Linked DNA regions of Oryctolagus cuniculus. Each later gene encodes a partner of the first gene's protein in a complex. Links are inferred from orthologs where the notes say so. Each region holds a gene or a part of one and is shown in the gene's direction. Other genes may lie near its edges.

Region 1 (3,652 bases):
CAGCTGGGATTAGAACTGGCACCCATAAGGGATGCTGGCACTTCAGACCAGGGCTTTAACCCACTGCACCACAGCGCCGGCCCCAAAGAAAGGATATTATTAAATAAATTGTTCAATGCTTGGAGATTTGAATACCTTTTTACAAATTCCTTTGTGATACCCACATCAGCACAGTCTTCATAGAACTGTGCTTCCTACCAGATTCAGTGGGAAGGATGTTCTGAATAGGATTCTCCAGAGGGCTTTGGATTAATTGGAATATTCTATTTGCAGGCACTATCTAATGTTCCTCCTCTCCGGAATTACTTCTTGGAAGAAGACAATTATAAGAACATCAAGCGACCTCCAGGGGATATCATGTTCTTATTGGTCCAGCGTTTTGGGGAGCTGATGAGAAAGCTCTGGAATCCCCGAAATTTCAAGGCACATGTCTCTCCCCACGAGATGCTTCAGGCTGTTGTCCTTTGCAGCAAGAAGACTTTTCAGATCACCAAACAAGGTAAAAACGGTCACTCCTGTTGCTTTGACAACAAAACTAGTTTAATGAACAAATTTATTCACTTTTTTTTTTTTTAAAGATTCATTTATTTATTTGAGAGGTAAAGTTACAGACAAAGAGAGGGAGAGACAGAGAGAAAGGTCTTCCATCTGCTGGTTCATTCCCTAAATGGCCTCAACGGCTGGAGCTGAGCCAATCTGAAGCCAGGAGCTTCTTCTGGGTCTCCCACACTGGTACAGGGGCCCAAGGACTTGGGCCATTTTCTGCCTTCCCAGGCCATAGCTAGAGCTGGATCAGAAGTGGAGCAGCCAGGACTTGAACAGGAGCCCATATGCGATGTTGGCACTGCAGGGGGCCGCTTTACCTGCTACGCCACAGCACTGACCCCTATTTTCACTTTTAATAGTGAATCTTGATAGTAGCCAAATGAGTGACTGATGTACAGCATGGTTAGGTTCCTCACTTCTCTCTGATTGAACTAAGCAATACATTTATTTGGATGCAAAAATATTTGAAATCTGTATGATGTTTTCATAATATGCATCATCTGTGAACTTTCTGAAGACCCTTTTTGTTATGGCATGGCTATTGATGGTGTTTGGGAGTTTACAAGATAGCAGTAAAATGTTCCTCTGAGAACACCTTGCCCTGTGACCAGGTGACAACCAAGCTGTGTAGGACCATTGAATTCCAACAGCTAGCATGGCTAGGGTATTAACCTTTTTTTTTTTTTTTTTAAGATTTATCTATTTATTTGAAAAGCAGAGTTACAGAGAGAGAGGGAGAGACAGAGAGAGGTCTGCCATACACTGGTTCACTCTCCAAACTGCCGCAGCAGCTAGGGTTGGGCCTGTCTGAAGCCAGGAGCTGCTTCTGGGTCTTGCACATGAGTACAGTGGTCTAAGCACTTGGGCCGTCCTCTGCTGCTTTCCCCTATGCATCAGCAGGGAGCTGGATCAGAAGTAGAGCAGCTAGGACTTGAACTGGCGTCCGTATGGGGTGCTGGCTCTGTAGTTGGCAGCTTAACTTGCCATGACGCAACACCTGGACCAGTTCTGTCCATAGTCCCGGCTTTTCATATTAAGGCTGCATCAGGTATGAAAGTTTTGTGGAGAGATTTTTTCTGAGCTGTTGATGGGCCAGCACTGCATTCACAGTGCTCCGTAGATGACTCCTGGCCTAAGGGTGGATGCTGGAGTTGCCCAGCTTTCGACAACACTGGAAAGCTAAAACATCATTGGTTGGAAAATCAGGGTGGCCAAAGAATAAGCTTACCCAGTTTCTCCTGTCACAGCATTGTTGGGCATGATAATTATGTTGTCACACAAACATAGTGTATATATCCCATAGAGTATATATCCCATAATTTCTTTATCCAGTCTTGTTGACAGGCATTTAGGTTGATTCCATGTCTAAGCTATTGTGAATTGAGCTGCAATAAACATGGAGGTGCAGATAGCTCTTTTATTTGTCGATTTTATTTCCCTTGGGTAAATTCCAAGGAGTGGGATGGCTGGGTCGTATGGTAGGGCTATATTCAGATTTCTGAGGTGTCTCCGAACTGTCTTCCATGGTGGCTTTAGCCAGTTTGCCTTCCCACAAACAGTGGATTCAGGTACCCTTTCCCCCACATCCTTACCGCATTTGTTGCTTGTTGGTTTTTGTATGAAAACCATTCTAACCCAGGTGAGGTGAAACCTCATTGTGGTTTGATTCGCGTTTCCCTGATGGCTAGTGATCCTGAACATGTGTCTGTTGGCCATTTGGATTCCCACTTTTGAAAAATGTCACTTTAGGCCGGCGCCGCGGCTCACTAGGCTAATCCTCTGCCTTGCGGCGCTGGCACACCGGGTTCTGGTCGCGGTCGGGGCGCCGGATTCTGTCCCGGTTGCCCCTCTTCCAGGCCAGCTCTCTGCTGTGGCCATGAATGCAGTGGAGGATGGCCCAAGTACTTGGGCCCTGCACCCCATGGGAGACCAGGAGAAGTACCTGGCTCCTGCCATCGGATCAGCGCGGTGCGCCGGCCGCAGCGCGCCAGCCGCGGCAGCCATTGGAGGGTGAACCAACAGCAAAGGAAGACCTTTCTCTCTGTCTCTCTCTTACTGTTCACTCTGCCTGTTAAAAAAAAAAAAAAAAAAAAAAAAAGAAAGAAAAAGAAAAATGTCACTTTAAGTCACTGGCCCATCTCTTAAGTAAGTTTGTTTTGTTGTTGTGGAATTTCTTGATCTCTTTTTAGATTCTGGTATTAATCCTTTATCAGTTGCATAATTTGCAAATAATTTCTCCCATTTGAGACAGGAATCTTTGTCAGCTAGAGAAAAGAACACAGAAGCCTGAGCTTACCCTGGAGAAGTTGTTGGTCATTGGTTTTGGCCGTCCCTGGGTAATGAGACTCAATTTGGGTTAGAGATGAAAATTGAACATGCTAGTGTGGCTCAGAGAGCCTGGTGAGAGAGGAAAGATTGGAAGAGCGACAGCTTGACCTTGAAGAGCGCCAGCAGTAAGTGTTCAGACAGGAGGATAAACAGGACCAGGGTGATGTGGCCAGAGAGGAAGGAGCAAATCCAGGAATGGAGTCACGGAGTCGTGGTGTGGGTTTCCTGAATGACTGCCAGCCTCAGTGTGTGCCACCTTTCCTTTTTTCCAGGCGATGGAGTCGACTTCCTGTCTTGGTTCCTGAATGCTCTGCACTCAGCTCTTGGGGGCACAAAGAAGAAAAAGAAGAGTAAGTCATGCTGCTTGTACAAAGAAGCTCTTGTTAGCTCCCTTTAAAAAACTTTGCAACTTTCCATTCTTTTGTTCTTAACTGTTTATCTTGTGGGGGCAGGGGGGGAGGGTATCTGTCGTACACACAGGCTAAATTTTCTTCCTGAATAGGCCTTATGTTAGTCTTTTTCATAATGTAATGAAATTCTTGAGGCAGGCCAACATTGTAAAAAAAATAAATTTTTTTAGCTCAGTTTTGGATGCTGAACACCCAGATATCATGTCACAGGCCCTGACGAGGGCCCCATAGTGGATGATAGGAATATATATATAAAGAATATTGATATAGGAGGCCAGAGAAAGGGAGACTCAAGGATCTGGCTCAGACTTTTGCAACATCTCATTTTGGGAAGAACTCTAGGAAGCCAGTGTTTCCTTCAAAGGTTA
Region 2 (4,293 bases), on another chromosome or scaffold:
GAAACGTAAAAGTATGTTTTCTAAGTGTGATGATATTAACACATAACTTAGACTGACATCTGGTGATAGCCTTAGATAATACTTTGTTGAATAAGTAGTAAATAAGCTTTCAATAAACTACAGAGTTTTAGATACAGCAAGGATGATAAATTAAGAAAGTAGCAACAAGTTAAAAGGAAAAAGCTATTATAAATCCTCAGTATAAAACAAAATTTTACATTTAAAAAAAAATGTGTAAACCATTTTGAAAAAAAAAGATTTACTTATTTATTTGAAAGGCAGAACTACAGAGAGGAAGAGGCACTATCCACTGGTTCACTCCCCAGATGACCACAAGGGTTGGAGCTGTGCTGATCCGAACCCAGGAGCCAGGAGCTTCTTCCAGGTCTCCCACAAAGGTGCAGGGCCCAAGGACTTGGGCCATCTTCTACTGCTTTCCCAGGCCACAGCAGAGAGCTGGATTGGAAGAGGAGCAGTTGGTCTTGAACCGGAGTCCATATGGGATGTCGGCATTGTAGGCAGCCTTTACCTGCTACGCCACAGCGCTGGCCCCTCTTTTACTTTTTTTTTTTTTTTTTTTTGACAGGCAGAGTGGACAGTGAGAGAGAGAGACAGAGAAAGGTCTTCCTTTATCCGTTGGTTCACCCCTTAATGGCCGCTGCTGCCAGCGCACTGCGGCAGGTGCACCACGCTGATCTGAAGCCAGGAGCCAGGTGCTTCTCCTGGTCTCCCATGCTGGTGCAGGGCCCAAGCACTTGGGCCATACTCCACTGCACTCCCTGGCCACAGCAGAGAGCTGGACTGGAAGAGGAGCAACCGGGACAGAAGCCTCAAGAAAAGGAATGTTTTTGGGGCCGGTGCTGTGGCACACTAGGTTAATCCTCCGCCTGCAGTGCTGGCATCCCATAAGGGCACCAGTTGTATTCCCAGATGCTCCTCTTCCGATCCAGCTCTCTGCTATGGCCTGGGATAGCAGTGGAAGATGGTCCAAGTCCTTGGGCCCCTGCACCGGCGTGGGAGACCCAGGGAAGGCTCCTGGCTCCTGGCTTCGGATCGGCCCAGCTCCGGCCGTTGGGGCCATTTGGGGAGTGAACCAGCGGACGGAAGACCTCTCTCTGTCTCTCTCACTGTAACTCTGTCAAAGAGTGAATTGGTGGCGGGAAATACTGATTTTTACTAGTCTTTATAAAGACAATTTTATGGGAAAACAAGCCAAAAGTTTCCTTATGCGCTGTCCTCTCGGTCGGAGGACGAACTCCTTCAGGAGGTTAGCAATCTTCAGCGTCTCTCCGAAGCCTGGGAACGAATCTGCAGGGCAGCACCCCAGGACTCCCACTCCCCAGCAAGGCAGCGCGCGGGCGCCGCCCACGTGGAGCACGCCGGCCGCCCGCTCGGCCTGCGATTGGTCGAGCCTGCCCGGCCGCGGGCAAAGGCGCAGGCGCGCTCTTTTAAAGTCACCGTGGAACGTCGATGGACGCAGGCCACTTCCGGCGTAGCCATGGCGGCTAACGCTACTACGAACCCCTCGCAGCTGCTGCCGCTAGGTAATGGTTTTCCTGTGAGGGAGCTGGGGCGGGAGGCTGGGGTTCAGGACTGGGGGCCGCGGGGTTGCGGCCGAGGCACCCCTGGCTGGTAGCGGGCCTATGTGTGGGGCCGAGCGTTTCCCCTCCGCGGCTCGCGCCGGCTCCCGAGCTCCTGCGCGCCAGGCCGCTGCTGCGATGTAACGTGCTCCTGCCCCTGGAGGCAGCTCCTCGGACTCCCCCGGAACGAACCGTGGGCGGGAGAGGGCCGCACTGGGCGAGCGCACCGTCGGCCGTGTTTGTTGGGAGCGCTGCGGCGCCGTGTCCGGAGTGGCATTTGGGATCCCCAGATGGGGTTCACCCTGTTGTGTGTCTGGGAGTTGAGCGGGAAGCAGCGCGCTGTGGAACGAGCCTTAGAGGAGGAATCTGGAAACTAGCCCTGTTTGCCATTCATTCATTCATTCATCCATCCATTCAGTAAGAGCCCGTGTTCTTCCTGCGTGCTAGTCCACAGCGACCTTAAACCACAGCCATCGCTCCCGAAGGGTACACAAGCCAGTGGAGGAGACAGTACTGGACAAGTAAACCTTGTGCCCCCCGTGCCAGGCTGGCCAGAGGTGCTGAAGCTGCCCCCAGCACCGCGGGGCTTCACTGGCGAGGGAGGAGGTGACAGGAGGCTCCCGCGACGACGGTCAGCGGCCTCTGACATTGTGTAGCCGGCGAGGAGTGGTTGCGTTGACGGACTTCAGTGATTAGGCTCGTGGAAAGCCCCGTAAATGCCCGTCCCTGTCCACTGAAGATCCAGCGATGGGCGAAAATGAGCACAGTGTCCGGGCTCGTGGCGCTTAAGAGTCTGGGGGGATGTGTTTGTGTCCCTAAATTAATCACGTGATCTGGAATAAAGATAAAGCCACAATCATGATAGATTGCTGCACAGAAAGGAGAAGTGGAAAGGCTTCTGATTAAGTAGTGGGAGCGCAGAGGTTTGCATTTTAAGATCCGAGGTTACCAAAGGGGGATGTTCTTCCTAGTTTAATTTTCACTGAATTTGGCAAGTAACAAATGCCAGCGTGCACTCGAGTATGTGCTAAAATGATGAATGGGTAAAATAATCTTTTTGCTCACGCAGAGCTTGTGGATAAATGTATAGGATCCAGAATTCACATTGTGATGAAGAGTGATAAGGAAATTGTTGGCACCCTTCTTGGCTTCGATGACTTCGTCAGTATCCTTTTAAAACGTGGTGCTGTGGCTTTTTCCTGTTTATTTAATAACAGAACCGTAGACAGTGTGTTTCTGGGTGTTAACGATAAAAGTCAGTTCATCTCAGGGCACTTGTGATGGTGTTTTCAGAGGTGAGTATACTGGAAGAAGGTCACATTCCTACCAACAGTCAGCCTTTTTATTATGAGCCTTTGTGTTAAATATTATCATTACAACTGAATGAAAGCAGAAACCAGAGTTGTTTCAACCTGGAGTGTTTATTTCCTTAACACCACCTTTCAGATATGGTATTGGAAGATGTCACTGAATTGTGAGTAGTGCTAAAAATGACAGAACTCGGCTCTTTTTCAAATTCAGGACATTTTAAGTACTGTTTAGTCAGCAAAATGGAAGTAGAGGCAACTTTTATTTACTAATGCTTGTAAAAGTTATGTAATTGTTGCTGAATTGCTAGGAAATTAGTGGAGACAAAGCTTGAAGGTAACAGATGTTAACGTGCAGGGATTTTAAGGCTCAGGTCATATCAAGGACCTGATGATGAAAACATTTAACTATATAATGTAAAATGTAAGTGATAAGTATTAGTTACATAGTAGTTTAGTGGGTAGAAATCAGTAGTAATACAAAATGTTAAAGAGTGAGTCTACTAAATATTTTATATTTGATCTTGGCAGGTTCCACCTTTTTTTTTTTTTTTTTTGAAGATAAGTCTCATGGCTGTGAATCTTTTTTAAAGCTTTATTTATTCAAAAGCCAGGTTACAGAGAGAAAGAAAGAGAGGGAAGGAGGGAGATCCTCCATTCGCTGGTTTACTCCCCCAAAGGGCTGCAATGCCAGGGCTGGGCCAGGCTGAAGCCAGGAGCCATGAGCTTTCCCCAGGTCTCCCACATCTGTTCAGGGGTTCAAGCACTTGGTCCACCCTCTGTTGCCTCCCCAGGCACATCAGCAGGGAGCTGGACTGGAAGTGGAGCAGCCAGGACTCAAACCAGTGCCTGTATGGGATGCAGCACTGCAGGCAGCAGTTTAACTTGCTGAGCCACAGTGCCAGCCCCCTTGGCTATGGATCTTATTTATATCCATTGGTCTACTCTTGCTTTTGATGAAGAGTGTACATTACCCAGTGGATAACTTTTATCTCTGAAAATCACCTTTATAATTGCTGAACTTTCGTTTATACAAACATTACCTTTTTAGAGAGAGAAGGTGTTTCTAAAATGCTGCCTTTGGTTACCACCATTTATCCTGACTTTCTGTTTTATCACTTCATTTAGTGAAATCACACCGGAAGGAAGAAGGATCACTAAATTAGATCAGATTTTGCTAAATGGAAATAATATAACAATGGTAAGACACGTTAAAACTGTTTCTGTGGGACAGGGCTTACAGACCTAACTAGTAATGTTGCCGGTTGCTTCACTCATGCCGTGGCTTGGTGGTGCTTAGGGTGGGAAAGAGATTGTCTGGTAGTCAGGGCCCTAAAGCCAAGCTCTTGAGAAGGTGTTAGGCCTAAGGATTAGTTTGCTGGGCTTTTTACTTTTGCTTGGTTAGG

Evidence for each region. Proteins that work in one complex are often made in the same cells at the same time.
Region 2: USP39 (region 1) and LSM5 share a complex: the UniProt entries of both Homo sapiens proteins name them as parts of the U4/U6-U5 tri-snRNP complex. The link is inferred for Oryctolagus cuniculus from reciprocal best matches to the Homo sapiens genes USP39 and LSM5.

The regions. Positions count from the first base shown.
Region 1 is NC_091433.1:117,024,919-117,028,570, reverse strand, and holds part of USP39 (ubiquitin carboxyl-terminal hydrolase 39), read left to right. Parts: intron 1-273; coding exon 274-499; intron 500-3,146; coding exon 3,147-3,224; intron 3,225-3,652.
Region 2 is NC_091447.1:23,532,958-23,537,250, reverse strand, and holds the start of LSM5 (U6 snRNA-associated Sm-like protein LSm5), read left to right. Parts: upstream 1-1,386; 5' UTR 1,387-1,498; coding exon 1,499-1,544; intron 1,545-2,649; coding exon 2,650-2,745; intron 2,746-3,026; coding exon 3,027-3,054; intron 3,055-4,015; coding exon 4,016-4,088; intron 4,089-4,293. UniProt on the Homo sapiens protein: Plays a role in pre-mRNA splicing as component of the U4/U6-U5 tri-snRNP complex that is involved in spliceosome assembly, and as component of the precatalytic spliceosome (spliceosome B complex).